Callithrix jacchus: one gene and its partner. The main gene of each other region encodes a partner of the protein of the gene in region 2 in a complex. Links are inferred from orthologs where the notes say so. Each region holds a gene or a part of one and is shown on either strand. Other genes may lie near its edges.

Region 1 (9,337 bases), on a different chromosome or scaffold from region 2:
CTTCCCCTCCTTCCTCCACAGTTAGGGGCACCATGATCTGTCCATTCACCTGGGAGTCATCCCAGGCTCAGGTGATCTGAGGACAAAGAATTGACCACTGGGATTGGCGGTGAGGCCGGTGCCCTTGTTTGTTTTTGAGCCGAAGTCTTTCTCTGTCACCCAGGCTGGACTGCAGTGCTGTAATCTTGGCTCACTGCAACCTCTGCCTCCTGGGTTCAGGAGATTCTCCTGCCTCAGCCTGCCGAGTAGTTGGGATTACAGGTGCATGCCACCACAGCTAGATAATTTTTGAATTTTTAGTAGAGATGGGTTTCACTATGTTGCCCAGGCTGGTCTTGAACTCCTGACCTCAAGTGATCTGCCCACCTCAACCTCCCAAAGTGCTGGGATTGCAGGCAGGAGCCACTGTGCCCAGCCCCAAGATGACTTTACATCTTCTCCGGCTTCCAGATTAACAGGCACGCTCATTCTGCCAAGCCGGTTCATTTTCTCACATGCTCACTGAACCCTCCACAAGCCAAGGACAGGGCTGGATGTGAAGTCTGGAAACCCAGAGATAATTCAGATCTGAGCCCTGCCACTGAGTCACTCCTGGCCCATGGAGAGAGCTCTGCACAGCTGTGAATCTCCCTGACTGGGTAGATGTGGTGACAGCTGCAGGAAGGGGAACCATGTGACCTGGGAATATGGGCAAAGGATTCCAGCTGCAGAATCCTGTAGGAATGGTTGTCTTGTTCTGCCTGGCCACAGAGTGAGCAAGTTGAGAGAAAGCACCTTGTCTTACACGTCCCCTCTCTTAGACATAATTGTCCTTAAAAAATTTGTGAGTTAGGCCGGGCGTGGTGGCTCAAGCCGGTAATCCCAGCACTCTGGGAGGCCGAGGCGGGTGGATCACGAGGTCAAGAGCTCGAGACCATCCTGGTCAACATGGTGAAACCCCATCTCTACTAAAAATACAAAAAATTAGCTGGGTATGGTGGCGCGTGCCTGTAATTCCAGCTACTCAGGAGGCTGAGGCAGGAGAATTGCCTGAACCCAGGAGGTGGAGGCTGCGGTGAGCCGAGATCGCACCATTGCACTCCAGCCTGGGTAACAACAGCGAAACTCCGCCTCAAAAAAAAAAAAAATTTGTGAGTTAGCTGGGCGCGGTGGCTCACAGCTGTAATCCCAGCACTATTGGAGGCCGAGGCAGGCAGATCATGAGGTCAGGAGTTTGAGACCAGCCTGACCAACATGGTGAAACCCCATCTCTACTAAAAATGCAAAAATTAGCCAGGTGTGGTGGCACTCGCCTGTAATCCCAGCTACTCAGGAGGCTAACATAGGAGAATCGTCTGAACCCAGGAGGCAGTGGTTACAGTGAGCTGAGAACGCGCCACTATTCCACTCCAGCCTGGGTGACAGAGTGAGACTCCGTCTCAAAAAAAAAAAAAAAATCTGTGAGTTTGTGGTCCTCTGGCTGCTTCTGCTTCCCTAGGGACAGCCCTTCTAGTGGCTGGGGATAAAGTTTTAAAAACAAAACCCGGCTGGGCACAGTGGCTCACACCTGTAATCCCAGCACTGGGAGGCCATCGTGGGCAGATCACTTGAGGTCAGGAGTTTGAGACCAGACTGCGCAATATGGTGAAATCCCGTCTCTACTAAAAATACAAAAATTAGCTGGTCATGGTGGTGCATGCTGGTAATCCCAGCTACTCGGGAGGCTGAGGCAGGAGAACAGCTTGAACCTGGGAGGTGGAGGTTGCTGTGAGCCAAGATTGTGCCACTGTACTCCAGCCTGGGCGACAGAGGAAGACTCAACAAAACAAAACAAACAAACAAAATACACAAAAACCCAAACTGGCAGAAAAGATAAGTACTTTAGAGTCAGGTAACCGTGGGTTCTTTTTTTTTTTGACAGGGTCTGGCTCTGTCACTCAGGCTGAAGTGCACTGAAGTGCAGTGGCATGATCTCAGCTCACTGCAACCTCCACTTCCCAGGCTCAAGCAGTCCTCCCATCTCAGCCTCTGAGTAGCTGGGACTTCAGGCGTGCACCACTTTGCCCGGCTAATTTTTGTATTTTTGGTAGAGACAGGGTCTTACTATGTTGCCCAGGTTGGTCTTGAACTCTTGAGCTTAAGCAATCTGTCTGCCTTGGCTTCCCAAAGTGCTGGGATTACAAGCATGAGCCACCATACCAGCCAGCTGTGAGTTCTGAGTCATTTTCACACTGACTAGCTGTGTCGTGTGACCTCAGACAAGTCATGTTATGTTTCTGAATGTTGTCATCAGTGAAAGAGGGTAATACAATTTACACAGGTTTGTTTATAGAATTAAATCAGGTGACTCTGTAAAGCCCCAACTGTCTGGCACTTAAGTGGCCTTCAGTAAAGCTTAATTCCTAGATTATTTCTTTCAAAACAGTGATTTGCCCTACGTGAAGGCATTGCAAGAAGATAGTGGTAAAAAATCAAATGTAATAGACAAACTCTCAGTAATGACCCACCTGCACCCTTTCCAACCAATGGGCATATACTGGGCACCCACCTTCTGGGTAACAGGCCTGGTGTCCAGTGCTGGAACAGTGGAGAGGCGCTCAGAGGTTCAGAGCTGAAAAGTCGGCTCCAGGAGGGCAGGGACTTCTTGTTGGCCGTTGTATCCCCAGCCCTTAGAATAGGCCAGGAACATAGTAGGTGCTCAGTATTTGTTGAATGAATGAATGAATGAAAAGTAAAATCCAGTGGGCCTCTGACTCATTTTTAAAAACTTGAGCCAAGTCCCTTGACCTCTCTGAGCTGGTGTGTGTCCCCATCAGTGAAGCCAGATGTGTTTAAGTCATCTCGAGGTCCTGCTGAGCAGAATTAATAGAGCAATAATATTAATAATAGCAACAGTCATAATCAAACATATGGAGCACAGCTATGGAGGGAATAACATGTTACGTCCACGTTATAGAAGAAGAAACTGAGACATAGGCAAGGAAGGCTCCTGGAGAAGCGGGCGTTTCATGATGTTTTGGAAGAACGACTGGGGATCGGACGTAGTAATAGAGAAGAGGATCCACGACCCAGAGGAAAAGGCCTTGTCCCAGTGCCATCGCGCCGCGCTGGCTGCGGACATTGTAGGAGGGACGAACGCCGCCCGGAACCCGCCCAACCCAGCCTCCGGCATCTCCATGGCAACAACCTCCGCACATGCGCCGCGAGCACCCGCGCCGGAGCTGGCAGCGCGCGCCGAAGCCCGACGCAGGCAGGGCGGAAGCGGGACCGGTGGGCTGGGACGGCTGGAGCGCGGGTGGGCGTTTAAAGGGGCCTTCGGCACCCGGTTCGGTTCGCCGCCGGGACTGCTGATGGTGAGGGCTAGGTGGCCCCGGGAATCGGGATCTAGAAGGTAGAGGAGAAGCAGGGGCGTCTGACCCCCGGAGGTGACAAGGGGAGACGGGCTGTGTAAATACCCTCCCTGGGCAGTAATGGGATGACTGTCCCCAGGGATCACTGCGGAGGAGAGAGGGGGCTGTAGGACCGCAGTTTCTGGGGTCCCCCGGGAGAGTCAGAGGGCAGTTAAGAGGGATCTCAGGACCGGCTTGGGACGGTCACCCCTCTTTCCACTGCCTGCTCTCAGCATTCCTGCCACCTCCCTACCCCATCGCGGTGCCCAGCCATGGCCAGACCTCCCGTGCCCGGTTCGGTGGTTGTCCCAAACTGGCACGAGAGTGCCGAGGGCAAGGAGTACCTGGGTTGCATTCTGCGCAAGAACCGCCGGCGGGTGTTTGGTAAGTGCCTCCCCCTTTCCTCCAGCCTGTTACTTGTCTCCCTGGGGAGCAGAGTATCATCTGTTGCTCCCTGAGTGGAGCAGAGAGGCAGGACAGTGAGGGCCTGCTCCACTGCAGTCTTCAACAGTCTTCAGCCTGGGAAACTGAAAGCCCTATCCCTGGGACCCCCACCCCTAAATCTCCTTAGAGATAATTCCATCATCACAGCCAGGAACATGGAAACAGCAGAAACCCTGTCAGCAACCACTGTCACCAGATATGCAGTTGACTGAGCCCTCCCCTCGTGTCAGGGCTTCTTTTGGGCACTTTACACAGTGCACTCCCATTTAACCTCTCAACAGCACATGGTACAGACTTGGCTAATATCATACCCTAATAAGTAGAGGTGAGCCACTTCCATGTCCTGCTGTCTCTGGGATGAGACACACTGGTGTTCCCCACGGTGAAGCTGACTTGCCCACGCAGGACCCGGCTGTGAGGCTGCCAGAGGTACCTGGAATGAGCTATGGAGTCCAGTTCTGGCCAGGAGAAGCAAGGCACCAGAAGGCTTCAGACCAGAGAGTGAGATAGCTAGAACCAAAATTTGTGAATATGTCAACAGTGTGTTTTTTTAAAGAAATTGCTCTAGATTGAAAATATGACCCTCTGGAAGGCCGGGCGCAGTGGCTCACACCTGTAATCCGAGCACTTTGGGAGGCTGAGGAGGGTAGATCACCTGAGTTCAGGGGTTCAAGACCAGCCTGGCCAACATGGCGAAACCCTGTCTTTACTAAAAATACAAAAATTAGCTGGGCATGGTAGCAGGCACTTACAATCCCAGCTACTCTGGAGGCTGAGGCAGGAGAATCACTTGAACCTGGGAGGTGGAGGTTGCAGTGACCCTAGATGGAGCCATTGCACTCCAGCCTGGGCGACAGGAGCAAAACTCTCAAAAAAAAAAAAAAAAAAAAAAAAAAACCCTCTAATATGGCTACTGTCCCTCTAATCCCATGATGGCTGGTAGCACTGCATTTGGGGTCACGCACACCCAGGCAAGTGACCCAGGCTCCACCACTGCCTAGCTGTGTGACTGGGAATAAGTGAACTCTAGCCTCAAGTCCCACCTCTGTAAAATGGGGATAATCATAGTATTTACCCCATAGAGTTGCTGGGGAAATTCCTAAGGAGTGTGTTTGTAACACACTGAGCAGGCTGTGGCATGCAGTGGGTGTTCACGGAAGGTTGGCGGTTACTGTATTCATTTTGTGTTTGTGTTGAGTGGAAGAGAATTGAGTGAAGGTTGAGCTGATTTTCTGGGCACATCATAGAACCCACTGACCATATTATCTATGCCACAGATAGGATCAAGCAGCCATAACATAGAGGAATGGCAGTGGTGGCTTTGAATTTTTTTTTTTTTTTAGACAGAGTTTTGCTGTTGTTACCCAGACTGGAGTGCAATGGCACGATCTCGGCTCACCGCCACCTCCGCCTCCTGGGTTCAAGCAATTCTCCTGCCTCAGCCTCCCGAGTAGGGTGCGCACCACCATGCCCAGCTAATTTTTGTATTTTTAGTAGAGATGGGGTTTCACCTTGTTGACCAGGATGGTCTCGATCTCCTGATCTCGTGATCCACCCGCCTCAGCCTCCCAAAGTGCTGGGATTATAGGCGTGAGCCACTGCACCTGGCCCTGAATTTTTGTGTTTTTACTTTACCTGCAGACATCTGGGGGGTTTTGTTAACACTTGAATGTGTCGTTCAGTGGTTGTCATGCAGGCCCCACAACAAACGTTGAGAGCTGCTAGTAAATATCAACAGACTGACTATAACTTAGGCCAGTCTCTTTGTATCTCAGACTTCTGTAAAATTGGGATGAGTATTAAGAACGACAGATGGGGCCGGGTGCGGTGGCTCACACCTGTAATCCCAGCACTTTGGGAGGCCAAGGTGGGCGGATCACCTGAGGTAGGGAGTTCAAGACCAGCCTGACCAACGTGGAGAAATCCCATCTCTACTAAAAATACAAAATTAGCCGGGCATGGTGGTGTCTGCCTGTAATCTCAGCTACTCTGTGGTTGAGGTAGGAGAATCACTTGAACCCGGGAGGCGGAGGTTGCGGTGAGCCGAGATCACACCATTGCACTCCAGCCTGGGCAACAAGAGTGAAACTCCGTCTCAAAAAAAAAAAAAAAAAAAAAGAACCACAGATGGTTGGTTAGCCCTGAAGAAGCCATTAGAAATGAGGTTGTCCTTGGCTGTGTGTGGTATAGTCCTAGCACTCTGGGAGGTCAGGCAAGGTGGGAAGAGTGCTTGAGCCCAGGAGTTCAAGACCAGCCTGAGCAACATAGTAAAACCCCCATTCCTATTAAAAATAAAAGGTGGCCGGGCACAGTGGCTCATGCCTGTAATCCCAGTACTTTGGGAGGCCAAGGCTGGTGGATCACAAGGTCAGGAGATTGAGACCATCTTGGCTAACACAGTGAAACCTCATCTCTTTTTTTTTTTTTTTTTTTTTTGAGACAGAGTCCTGCTCTGTCACTAGGCGCCAGGCTGGAGTGCAGTGGCGCGATCTTGGCTCACTGCAACCTCTGCCTCCTGGGTTCAAGCAATTCTCCTGCCTCAGTCTCCCGAGTACAGGGATTACAGATGCATGCCACCACGCCCAGCAAATTTTTATATTTTAGTAGAGATCGCGCCACTGCATTCCAGCCTGGGCAACAGAGCGAGACTCCATCTCAAACAAAACAAAGGTAAAGAAAAAAATAAATAAATGAAGATTGTCCAGCCTAGCATCTGATGGGGAACGTACAGGACTGACCCCCTATCTTAGTCCATTTTATGCTGCTATAACAGAATAAACACACTCTTGGTTGTTTATTTATATTTTTTTGAGATGGAGTCTCACTCTGTTGCCCAGGCTGGAGTGCAGTGATATGATCTCGGCTCACTGCAACTTCCACTTCCCAGGTTCAAGTGATTCTCCTGGCTTAGCCTCCCAAGTAGCTGAGATTGCAGGCACCCACCCCTACCCCCAGCTAATTTTTTGTACTTCTTTTTTTATATAGAGATGGAGTTTCACCATGTTGGCCAGGCTGGTCTCCAACTCCTGAACTCAGGTCCTCTGCCCACATTGGCCTCCCAAAGTGCTGAGATTACAGGTGTAAACCACCGCACCCAGCCTCCTCTGGGAAATTTATAATGAATAGAAGTTTATTTGGCTCACAGTTCTGGAGGCTGGGAAGTGTAAGAGCATGGCAGCATCATCTGGAAAGGGCCTTCATGCTGTGCCATCCCGTGGCAGAAGGCAGAAGTGTGACAGCAAGACAGCAAGAGGTGCCCAAACTGGCTTTTATAACAAACCCACTCCTTCAATAACAACATGGATCCATTTGTGAGGGTAGAACACTTGAGCTCATCACCTCTTGGTAGGCCCTACCTCAACACTGTTGCATCGGGGATTAAGTTTCTCATACGTGAACTTTGGGGGACACCTTCAAACCACGGCACCCCTTGACTCTGCCTGGCTCCCTCTTTGCTCCAGGACTGCTTGAGCGGCCAGTGCTGCCACCGCCTGTGTCCATTGACACTGCCAGCTACAAGATCTTCGTGTCCGGGAAGAGTGGTGTGGGCAAGACGGCGCTGGTGGCCAAGCTGGCTGGCCTGGAGGTGCCTGTGCTACACCACGAGACCCCCGGTGAGTGCAACCTCAATCCTTTGCCCATCCTGGGAGGCCCTCCTTGTGGTGGGGGCAAGAACCTGGCCCTGGACCACACAAGCCAGGGTCGATACCCAGCTCCACATCCTACTCTGTAGCCTTGGAAAGTCACTCCACCTCTCTGAGCCTCCATGGGCTTCTCAGTCCCAAGGGGATACTAGTACCTACCCCACAGGGTTGTCGTGTGGTTGCTAGAGGTACTGGTGGTAACATCCCTAGCATCAAGCTAGGCTCAAGGTAGATACTCAGGAAATGCTAATCTTGCTTTCTTGTTTCTTACCACTGGATGTTGATTGATCCACCCTGTTGAAACATGCCCAGTGTCCTGGGACCTTTGGTCTCCCTGCATATACAAACAAAACTGCTTTGCCATGGCTGGGACTACATCTTCCTGCTATGCCAGAGGCTCCTCCAGGGCCAGTCTCTGTTTCTCCCATCAGACTGAGAATTCTCCCAGGTCAAGGACTGTGCCTCCCTCATCAAAGGGAGGACCCCTCAGGGCAGGGACGTATCTCCTCCTATTCCTTCCTGCCCCCAGTCCTCCATCTCCACCCCTCCCATGCTGAATGGCTGATCCTGGCTCCCCTCAGGCATCCAGACCACCGTGGTATTTTGGCCAGCCAAGCTGCAGGCCAGCGACCGTGTCGTCATGTTTCGTTTTGAGTTCTGGGACTGTGGAGAGTCTGCGCTCAAAAAGTTCGATCACATGCTGCCGGTGAGCAGGCATGTGGGCCTGGGTGGGCTCTGCCAGGGGCCGATTGGGTATTAATGAGCTCAAGGCACTGGCTGGGTATGGTGGCTCACGCCTGGAATCCCAGCACTTTGGGAGGCTGACGCGGGCAGATCACCTGAGGTTGAAAGTTTGAGACCAGCCTGACCAACATGGAGAGACCCTGTCTCTACTAATGATACAAAAAGTTAGCCAGGCGCCTGTAATCCCAGCTACTTGGGAGGCTGAGGCAGGAGAATCACTTGAACCTGGGAGGTGGAGGTTGCAGTCAGCATTGCACTCCAGCCCGGGCAACAGGAGCAAAACTCCATCTCAAAAAAAAAAAAAGAGCTCAAGGCCCTGCCTTGGGAGATAGAGATCTGAGCTGGCACTGGGGACTGAGTCCCAGCCCATGCTCGTCCTAGGACCAGCCACATCGTGCTCTGGGCCTCAGTTTCCCAACCTGTGAAAGGAGGGATTATTCCCGATTCTTCTCAGGGCCCTGCAGCTGATGGGAGGGTGTCACAGTTATATGCCTCTCCGTCGCCAGGCTTGCAAGGAGAACACAGATGCCTTCCTCTTCCTTTTCTCCTTCACTGACCGTGCCTCCTTTGAAGACCTCCCTGGACAGCTGGCCCGCATAGCAGGTGAAGCCCCTGGTGTCATCAGGATGGTCATCGGCTCCAAGTATCCTTTGGGTAGCCTCTGGGGCTGTCAGAGGCCACCCTTGGCAAGTCAGGGAGCAAGGGGATCAGGGGCCTGGCCTCTGCCCAGGTGTGGAATTCAGCACCTGGGCTTTTACTTAAAGGGTACCACATGGCTAGCCCGGCTCCTGGGTGCGGGCTCCAGGGTGGAGGGAGAGGCGGGGTCTGATGGGGGTGTGTGCAGAGGCACCTGGCCAGGCTTCTTGACCCTCCTCCAGATTTGACCAGTACATGCACACAGACGTGCCTGAGCGGGACCTCATAGCCTTCCGGCAGGCCTGGGAGCTGCCCCTGCTACGGGTGAAGAGTGTGCCAGGGCGGCGGCTGGCTGATGGGCGCACGCTGGATGGGCGGGCTGGGCTGGCTGACATTGCTCACATACTCAACGGCCTCGCTGAGCAGCTGTGGCACCAAGACCAGGTGGCGGCTGGCCTGCTTCCCAACCCCCTAGAGAGTGCTCCTGGATGAATCATGAGT
Region 2 (9,606 bases):
GTAGTGCTTGCGGAGCCCTTCGAAGTAGGGTCCCAGGTTGGCCGTACCCTCAATCACAAACACCACGTCGGCCACGAGGCCCCCGGCGCGGGCCGGGCCCTCGGACCCGGGGACCATACCCCGCGCGGAGGCCGCCACCGCCACTGCCGCCGCAGCCGACACCGCGGAATGAGGGGAAATGCGCCTGCGCTGCGCGCGCACCCGCGCCGGGCGGTTGAGGGCTGCTGGGAACGCACGGGCGGCCATATTTGTGCGGGGCACAGGTTGAGGCTTCGATCTAGCTCCATCCTCCTTCGCCCTAACCCGTGGAAGACTCAGCAAGGACATAGTTAGCCCTTTTGGGGGGCCTGATGGGTTAGACAAAATCATTGTCAGGATTGTCAAGAACGAAATAAGTTGAAGGCGGCACAGTCGGCTGCCATCTTTGAGCGGGGCGTCTGGGCCCGCCTATTAGCTCAATGGGAGGGGCAGGAGACCTGGTTGCTATGCAACACTAACGCTGCCCTTGTTTTCGTTTTCCTTTATCCTTTCCCCCCCCCCCCCCCCCCACGAGACGGACTCTCACTCTGTCGCCCACCCTGGAGGGGAACGGCGCGATCTCGGCTTACTACAAGCTCCGCCTCAGCCTCAGCCTCCCCAGGAGCTGGGATTACAGATGCCCACCACCATGCCCCGCTAATTTTTGTATTTTTCGTAGAGACGGAGTTTCACCATGTTGACCAGGCTGTCTCGAACTCCTGACCTCAAGTGATTCGCCAGCCTTGGATTCCTAAAGTGCTGGGATTACAGGCGTGAGCCACTGCGCCCGGCCCGCTGCCCTTGTTTTCTAACCATGAGATTAAGTTTCTGGTTCTGTTCTTTCGTGCGCGGGGACTGGGGGGAGGGACGCGAGAAGGGTCCAATCGCAATGGCGGAAACGAGGTTACTAGGCAACGCTTTAAGGTTGCCCTTAACTTGGAAGGGAGGATAGTAGTTTTCCTCCTGAAAAGAAGCTGAACACGAACCCAAGTGCAAGGGTTACTAAGCAACACCTGAGCGTTGTTTTCCGGGCGAGGAGCCAGAAACTAGCCTAGAACATAAATACATTCCAGGTGGATTAAGAACATAAGTGCAACAAATAAAACACGAAAATAGCTGAAGGAAAAAAATCCTAATGACTGCCATGAAGTTTCTCAGCAAAGTCAGAATACGTAAAATATTAATTTGTCCGCAAAAGATTGCATAAAGCAAGTTGAAACATATACCACGAACTGGAAAAATCTAGCGTGTTTGTTGACAGAAATGTACTACACAAATCTTACCGATGAATAACAGTATAGAAAAATAGAAACACTTCATTGTTTTTTTTTAAATTTTATTTTTTGAGACAGGGTCTCTGTTGTGCAGGCTGGAGTGCAGTGGCCATTGCAATCTTGGCTCATTGCAGCCTCTATTTCTCACACTGAAGCCACTGTCCTGCCTCTGCAGCAGCTAGGACCACAGCCACGCACCACCACTCCTGACTAATTTTTAATTTTTTTGTAGAGGTGGGGTCTCGCTATGTTGCCCTGGCCTGTTTCAAACTCTTGGGTTGAAGCGATACTCCCGCCTTGGCCTCCCAAAGAGCTGGGATTACAGGCGTGAGCCATGGTGTCCTGCTACTTTATATTTCTTTTTTTTTGAAACGGAGTTTCGCTCTTGTTACCCAGGCTGGAGTGCAATGGCGCGATCTTGGCTCACCGCAACCTCCGCCTCCTGGGTTCAGGCAATTCTCCTGCCTCAGCCTCCTGAGTAGCTGGGATTACAGGCACGCATCACCATGCCCAGCTAATTTTTGTATTTTTAGTAGAGACGGGGTTTCACCATGTTGACCAGGATGGTCTCGATATCTTGACCTCGTGATCCACCTGCCTCGTATATTTCTTTTAATAGAAAGGAACCTGACCAGGGCCGCACATCGTGGTTTACGCCTGTAATCCCATGACTTTGGGAACCGAGGTGCGCAGATCATGAGGTCAGGAGCTCGAGACCATCCTGGCCAATATGGTGAAATCTCGTCTCTACTAAAAATACAAAAATTAGCCGGCATAGTGGTGGGTGTCTGTAATCCCAGCGACTCAGGAGGCTGAGGTAGGAGAATCGCTTGAAACTGGGAGGGGGAAGTTGCAGTGAGGCGACATCGTGCCACTGCCCTCCAGCCTGGCGATAGAGCCAGATTCCATCTCAACAACAAAAAAAAACCATAATCTTCACCAATTGAAAAGTGCTTGCAGAAAGCCCAATGATATACCATTTTATCTTTATCATGTTACATTTTTTTTTTTCCACAAAAATATCACTCTGTCACCCAGGCTGGAGTGCAGTGGTGCTGTCTCGGCTCACTGCAGCCTCTGCTTCCTGGGTTGAAGTGATTATCCTCCCTCAACCTCCTAAGTAGCTGGGACTACAGGTATGCGCCACCACACCCCGCAAAAGTTTGTATTTTTGGTAGAGACAAGGTTTTACCTTCTTGGCCAGGCTGGTCTTGAACTCCTGACCTCAGGGGATGCACCTGCTTTGGCCTCCTAGAGTGCTAGAATTACAGGTGTGAGCCACTGCACCCAGCCTCCTGAAGCTTTTTTTTTTTTTTTTTTTTTTGAGACTCTGTCTCAAGACAAAAAAAAAAAAAAAAAAAGAGAGAGTCTTACTTGCTGAAGCCTTTTAAAGCAAATCAGTACAATCATATCATTTTACCCCTGTGTGCTTGGCAGGCATCTTTCCAATTTTATGAAAATATTTTTACATAACTAGTATGCCATTGTCACCTGTAACAAAATTAACTTGTTCCTTAGTATCATCTAAGTGTGTCATCGAATGTTCCAATTGTCCCAAAATGTGTTTTTACAACTGCTTGATTTGTATCAGGATCCAGACAAAGACCATACACATATTTAGACATCATGTCTCAAGTTTATTTTAATCTAGAACAGCTCCGTCCTTTTTTATGCCTGGGTAACTAAATTTTTAATAAAGATATAAAGAAAAGTGGCCGGGCACGGTGGCTCACGCCTATAATCCCAGCACTTTGGGAGGCCAAGGCGGGTGAATCACGAGGTCAAGAGATCGAGACCATCCTGGTCAACAGGGTGAAACCCCGTCTCTACTAAAAATACAAAAAATTAGCTGGGCACGGTGGCGCATGCCTGTAATCCCAGCTACTCGGGAGGCTGAGGGAGGAGAATTGCCTGAACCCAGGAGGCGGAGGTTGCAGTGAACTGAGATCACGCCATTGCACTCCAGCCTGGGTAACAAGAGCGAAACTCCATTTCAAAAAAAAAAAAAAAAAAGATCAATAGGCATAAAGGAAGATTAAAATGATATCTAGGCCAGGTGTGGTGGCTCCAGCCTGTAGTCTCCGCACTTTGAGAGGCCAATGTGGATGGCCTTGAGCCCAGGAGTTTGATAGCAGCCTGGGCAACATGGTGACACCCCATCTCTACAAAAAATACAAAAATTAGTCGGACATGGTGGTGCACACCTGTAATCCCAGCTACTCAGGAGGCTGAGGCAGGAGAATCGCTTGAACACGGGAGGCAGAGGTCGCAGCGAGCCGAGATCACGCCACTGTACTCCAGCCTGGGCGACAAAGCGAGACCCTGTCCCTTCCCCCAACCCCCCTTAAAAAGAAAGAAAACAATGTACTTTAGGAAGTAGAAAAGTTAAAAATTATGCTAGAAAGATGGGTTAATTTGCAAGAAGGACGAGGAAGGGCAAAATGAATCATAAACACATTTATAATTATAAGTAAACACTACCTGTATAAAATAATAAAAATATTTACAAGGGCATCTTAAAAAGTCACTAGTTGGCCGTCACTAGTTGGCCGGCACTAGCTGTTTAGTCCAGAGGCGTTCAACAACCTAATGTACATCAATACAGAATTGGTCAAATCAATTTGTTATAACCATAAAATAGATTATAAAATTACATTATTAAGATGAAACAGACATACTTTTTATGGGAAAAAATATGGAAATGTTGATATACTAATATTTGTGAAAACATTAATATTGTACGTTATATTGTATTTTAGGAAAAAAATTGGGGATGGGATATCTTCACATTGCACATGGTATGTTATCATGCATAATTCATTGCACAAATAATGTTATTTTTATCATTCTGGAAAATAAAGGATTTCCTTGTTTTCTTTTTTCTAATAACAAAAACAACCATCTATTTTGTTGGTTACTAGGCAACGCTCGCCGGACTCAACCACCCTCGAAAGTTGGGAGGGGAGACGGTGTTTTTCTAGATTTCGCCCTAAGGTGGGGTGGTCGGACTTCGATGTGCCGCCATCTTTGAGTAGGGCACAGCCGTTTACAGCCTTGGGAATGGAAATTAGACTGAATGGTGGTTGCTTGGCAACGCCCCACGGTCGCCGCTTTTGAGTAGGGCATACTGTTTACTACTACAAAATGGAAACGTAGACGGAATGTGGTTGCTAGGCAACGCCTTGGGACCGTGGCAATCTTTGATCGCGGCACAACTGTTTTTTTCCGTTTAGAATGTAAATCATCAAAGCCTACAGGATGGTGTATAAGCAAGGCCTTTGCGCAGTCATCATCTTCAATCCGGCCTCTTGGGTCTCCCTACCTCCTCGGAGAAACTGAAAAGCTTTGCAAATTCAATTAGCCGCCATCTTTGTTAGGGGTACTATAACTTCCGGCTGGGGCGGAAGAGAACCTAACAGGTTTGGGGGAGGTGCCTAAATAGGGTTTGAGGGTCCGAGTTGGATGAAGAAGGCGGGAAGTTAATCCTGTTCCAGTCAGCTCCCCATCTCGCCCTCTGGCGGCTCCCGACCACAGGCCGAGTTACTGTGATTGCCGGCATGCTCCAAGACCGGCACTGACAGTCCCCACGTGGGGGGCTGCGGTGGGAGTCCTAAATGGGGGAGGAAGGGACGGGCGGCACCGTGCATCTGCTGTGCCTCGCGGCCTCCAGCGGGGTCCCCCTGTTCTGCAGGAGCAGCCGCGGCGGCGCCCCCGCCCGTCAGCAGGTGGGGCCTTGGACGCCTGTATCTAAACCGAAGGGGGTTCGGTGTTTTGGGTCTTCAAGGCAGTAGGGGCTGGGGAAGTTTCAGTATTGAGTTTGTAGGACCGAGGAGACAATGGACCAGTAATCCTGGTTCCCCAAAGAGACACTGCCAGGACATAGGGAAAGAGGATGGGGCTGGGAGCTGGCATACGTGGGTTCCAAAAAGGAGGGGATGGCCGGGGGAGGGGGGCTACTGTCTGATGTCCCTAACTCCTCCTTAGCTCCCGTTCTCTGTCATCGGTTCCCTCAATGGAGTCCACATGTTCGGGCAGAATCTGGAGGTGCAGCTGAGCTCTGCAAGGACCGAGAATACGACCGTGGTGTGGAAAAGCTTCCATGACAGGTCCCCAGGCGGGAACATGGGACAGGGACAGGGCCTGGGTTATAGTCTTTGTAGAAGATGACCTCTGAGGTCTTCCAGCTGTTAATTTGGCTATGGGATCTTTAGCAAGCTAGTTACCTCTTTGATCCCCGCTGTTCTCTATAAGAAAGGCCGAGGGAGGATGTATCTGGCATTCTAGGATCAGTGGGCAGACTCCAACATACCCCTTCCTGGTTCCCCAGGCCTTGACTCGTTCTTCCTTCTCACTTCCACTCCACAGCATCACCCTCATTGTTCTGTCATCTGAGGTGGGCATCTCTGAGCTGAGGCTGGAGAGACTACTACAAATGGTGTTTGGAGCCATGGTGAGAATCCCCAATCCTCTTTTCTCCCCAGACCAGGAATCTGAGATCTCAGCATCCAGCATCCTTTTCCCTCAGACCTAGGAGTCCAGACCACCAAAGTTCACTTCCTCCCTCAAAAACCAGAAATGTTTTTTTGGGTTCAGGCAATTCTCCTGCCTCAGCCTCCTGAGCAGCTGGGATTACAGGCACGCGCCACCATGCCCAGCTAATTATTTCTATTTTTAGTAGAGACGGGGTTTCACCATGTTGACCAGGATGGTCTCGATCTCTGGACCTTGTGATCCACCCGCCTTGGCCTCCCAAAGTGCTGGGATTACAGTCTTGAGCCACCGCGCCCGGCCTTTTTTTTTTTTTTTTGAGATGGAGTCTTGCTCTGTTGCCCAGGCTGGAGTGCAGTGGCCTGATCTTGGCTCGCTGCAACCTCTGCCTCCCAGGTTCAAGTGACTCTCATGCCTCAGCTTCCTGAGTAGCTGGGATTACAGGTACATACCACCATGCCCAGCTAATTTTGGGGGGTTTTTTGTTTTTTGAAGACGGGGTTTCACCATGTTGGTCAGGCTGGTCTTGAACTCCCACCTCAGGTGATCCGCCTGCCTTGGCCTCCAAAGTGCTTGGATTACAGGTGTGAGCCACCAGGCCTGGCCTTTTTGTATTTTTTGTAGAGATGAGGTTTCACCATGTTGGCTAGGCTGATTTGAAACTCCCAACCTCAAGTGATCCGTGCATCTCGGCCTCCCAAAGTGCTGGGATTACAGGCATGATCCACCGCGCTCTGCCAGAACCCAGGAATCTTGACCCCCAAGACCCAGGAGTGGGAGTCCCAGCCCCCTCTTCCTTCAGACCCAGGAGTTTGAGTCCAAGCCCCTCCTCTCTGAGAACCAGTTGCCCAGGGCCCTTTCCCCCCTTATGTGGTTCTTCTAGGTCCTTCTTGTGGGACTTGAAGAACTGACCAATATCCGCAACGTGGAGAGACTGAAGAAGGACTTAAGGGTGAGGCTGCAGGACATGAGGGTGGGAAGTTAGGATACCTGAGCACTGCCATTTGGAAACTACAGTTCCCAGCAGTCCCTGGGGCAGCCTGGTCCCACAGGTTCTTGGGGCAAGTTGGTTGTCTGACCCTGGCCCTGGGTCCACCTGAATCCTAGGCTGGTCCCTTCTTCCTCTGCTAGGCCAGTTACTGCCTGATCGACAGCTTCCTAGGGGATTCGGAGCTCATCGGGGACCTGACCCAGTGTGTAGACTGTGTGATTCCTCCAGAGGGGACCCTCTTGCAGGTACTGGGGATGCTATGGAAACTCTTACACCTGTTCCTCTGGCCCTGGCTGAGTCCTCATCCTCTTTCTTCTGGACCATTGTCCCAACCTTCTCCTATCCTCTCAGCTTCCAGTCCTGTCCCACATGGTCCCAGAAGAATCTTTCTTTTCCTTTTTTTTTTTTTTGAGACAGAGTCTCGCACTGTCGTCCATGCTATAGTGCAGTGGTGAGATCTCGGCTCACTGCAGTCTCTGCCTCCTGGGTTCAAGCCATTCGCCTGCCTCAGCCTCCCAAGTAGCTGGGACTACAGGTGTGTGCCACCATGCCCAGCTAATTTTTTAGTAGGGATGGTATTTCACCATGTTGGCCAGGATGGCCTCGATCTCCTGACCTTGTGATCCTCCCACCTTGGCCTCCCAAAGTGCTGGGATTACAGGCGTGAGCCACCATGCCTGGCCTTTTTCTTTCTTGTTTCACTCTTATTGCCCAGGCTGGAGTGCAATGGCACAATCTCAGCTCACTACAGCCTCTGCCTCCAAGGTTCAAGTAATTCTTCTGCCTCAGCCTCCCGAGTAGCTGGGATTACAGATGCTTACTGCCACGCCTGGCTAATTTTTTGTATTTTTAGTAGAGATGGGGTTTCGACATGTTGGCCAGGCTGGTCTCAAACTCCTGACCTCAAGTGATCTGCCTGCCTCAGCCTCCCAAAGTGCTGGGATTACAGGCATGAGCCATTGTGCCTAGCTATCTCTCTTTTCTAAGATAGGATCTTGCTCTGTGGTCCAGGCTGGAGCGCAGTGGCTCCGTCATAGCTCACTGAAACCTTGAATTCCTAGATTCAAGTGATCCTCTCATCTCAGCCTCCCCAGTAGCTGAGACTACAGGCACGTGCCACCACATTCAGCTACTTTTTTTTTAAGAGATGGGCTGGGGTTGGGGACAGTTGTCTCACTAAGTTGCCCAGGCTGGTCTCAAACTCCTGGGCTCAAGAAATCCTCCCACCTTGGCCTCCAAAGTGCTAGGATTACAGGTGTGAGCCATCACAGCCTGCCACCAGAAGAATCCTACTATACCCAGAGCTGGCCCTACCCCTTTCCTGCTGACAGCCCTCTGGCAGCCTCCACCTTCCCAAGGACCAGGTCCAGCCCCTCAGCCTTGTGTTTGAAGGCCTGTGGCACATGGCGCCCCCTAGCCTGTTGCTAAATCCACAATCTACCTTCATCCAGCTGCCTCAGGGGCCCCAGAGATCCCAACAACTTTCCAGTCTGGGTACATGCTCTTCCTCCCACCTCTCGGATCTCTAGCTTCCACTGCTTAAATACCGCTCTTGCAGACTTGCCTGGTGTGGGCACCTCCCAGCAGTGTGACTTCTCAGCAGGTGACTTGGCTTCTCCACGTTGCTGATGGTGCTTACCGGGCATGTAACAGGACTCTATGAACGGTAGCTGCTGCAGTTACGTTAATTAGCTTCAGTTTGCCCACTAAGGCTAGGCGGTTTTTTTTTAAGATGGAGTCTCGCTCTGTCACCAGGCTGGGGTGCGGTGGCACAGTCTCGGCTCACTGCAACCTCCGCCTCCCAGGTTCAAGCGATTCTCGTGCCTCTGCCTCCCACGTAGCTGGAACTACAGGTGTGCACCACCACACCCAGCTAATTTTTGTATTTTTAGTAGAGATGGGGTTTTATTCTGTTGGCCAGGATGGTCTTGATCTCTTGACCTCGTGATCCACCCGCCTTGGCCTCCCAAACTGCTGGGATTACAGGCGTGAGCCACCGAGGTCCGGCCCAGGCGAGGTGTTTAATCAGACTTCACAGTGTGAGCTGGGGATGTGACTTCGTGTGAAGATGAAGGAACTCAGGCTCTGAGAGGGTGAGGTGCAGCAGCATGGCCACTCCGCGAGCTCGGCTGGCCGTGGGTCTCTGTCCATCCCCTGCCCACCTGGGAAGTCGCTGCCGCCGCCTGTGCGTCTCTGCTGACTCCTGGTCCTCCTGCCTCCCTTACCCAGGAAGCCCTCTCCGGGTTCGCTGAGGCAGCGGACACGGCCTTCGTCAGTCTGGTGGTGTCGGGCCGGGTGGTGGCGGCAACAGAGGGTTGGTGGCGGCTGGGGATGCCCGAGGCCGTGCTGCTCCCCTGGCTGGTGGGGTCCCTGCCGCCGCAGACCGCTCGCGACTACCCGGTGTACCTGCCGCACGGGAGCCCCACGGTGAGTGGGTGGGGCGGGCAGGGGGAGGTGAGCGGAGGGATGGGACCTGCGGACCAAGTCGCGAGGAGGCGGGATCTGCGATGGAAAGGGCCGGGGCCGCGGTCAGTCCCAGCCTGTGCCCTGCTTCAGATCCCACACCGGCTCCTGATGCTGACGCTGCTGCCAAGCCTGGAGCTGTGTCTGCTCTGCGGACCGAGCCCACCCCTCAGCCAGTTGTATCCACAGGTGAACCCGCTCCACGTCCCGCTTTCCCCCTTAGGACACTCTCTACCCGCAAGGCCCTTACCCCACCACGCTGCCCTGCCAGTGGCTTTTTTCCCGGACCCGTCCTGGACTGCGCGCCAATCAATTCCCCAAGATCGGCCAATCACGCGTGGCCTCTGTGCTTGCAAGCCTCGCCCCTTCCCT

The links.
Region 1: the proteins of FUZ (region 2) and CPLANE2 are in contact, whole or in part, in a cryo-EM structure (PDB 7Q3E), measured with the Mus musculus proteins. The link is inferred for Callithrix jacchus from reciprocal best matches to the Homo sapiens genes FUZ and CPLANE2. Residues at the interface, in NP_081652.2 of Mus musculus: Arg26, Arg35, Ile109, Val110, Lys126, Glu127, Arg129, Ala130, Tyr132, Cys133, Asp136, Gln215, Ala216, Ala217, Arg218, Asp219, Tyr220, Pro221, Tyr223, Pro232, Leu238, Thr239, Leu240, Leu241, Arg242, Pro255, Leu256, Gly257, Gln258, Pro261; in NP_001074643.1 of Mus musculus: Glu36, Gly38, Leu39, Leu40, Glu41, Arg42, Val83, His84, His85, Glu86, Thr88, Gly89, Ile90, Gln91, Thr92, Thr93, Val94, Lys124, Phe125, Met128, Glu134.

What each region holds. Positions count from the first base shown.
Region 1 is NC_133508.1:53,550,998-53,560,334, reverse strand, and holds the start of CPLANE2 (ciliogenesis and planar polarity effector 2), read left to right. Parts: upstream 1-3,196; 5' UTR 3,197-3,329; coding exon 3,330-3,332; exon of another isoform or gene 3,333-3,370; intron 3,371-3,601; coding exon 3,602-3,752; intron 3,753-6,797; coding exon 6,798-6,848; exon of another isoform or gene 6,849-6,930; coding exon of another isoform or gene 6,931-6,957; coding exon 6,958-7,065; exon of another isoform or gene 7,066-7,111; coding exon of another isoform or gene 7,112-7,157; intron 7,158-7,273; coding exon 7,274-7,426; intron 7,427-8,037; coding exon 8,038-8,162; intron 8,163-8,706; coding exon 8,707-8,843; intron 8,844-9,078; coding exon 9,079-9,328; 3' UTR 9,329-9,337. UniProt on the Homo sapiens protein: Required for efficient primary cilia initiation, regulating a late step in cilia initiation. Plays a role in the final maturation of the mother centriole and ciliary vesicle that allows extension of the ciliary axoneme.
Region 2 is NC_133523.1:43,585,229-43,594,834, reverse strand, and holds the start of FUZ (protein fuzzy homolog), read left to right. Parts: upstream 1-4,733; 5' UTR 4,734-4,906; coding exon 4,907-5,017; intron 5,018-5,276; coding exon 5,277-5,398; intron 5,399-5,657; coding exon 5,658-5,742; intron 5,743-6,663; coding exon 6,664-6,732; intron 6,733-6,911; coding exon 6,912-7,016; intron 7,017-9,000; coding exon 9,001-9,198; intron 9,199-9,327; coding exon 9,328-9,423; intron 9,424-9,606. Other genes in the region: MED25 (mediator of RNA polymerase II transcription subunit 25), read right to left, coding at 1-117. UniProt on the Homo sapiens protein: Probable planar cell polarity effector involved in cilium biogenesis. May regulate protein and membrane transport to the cilium.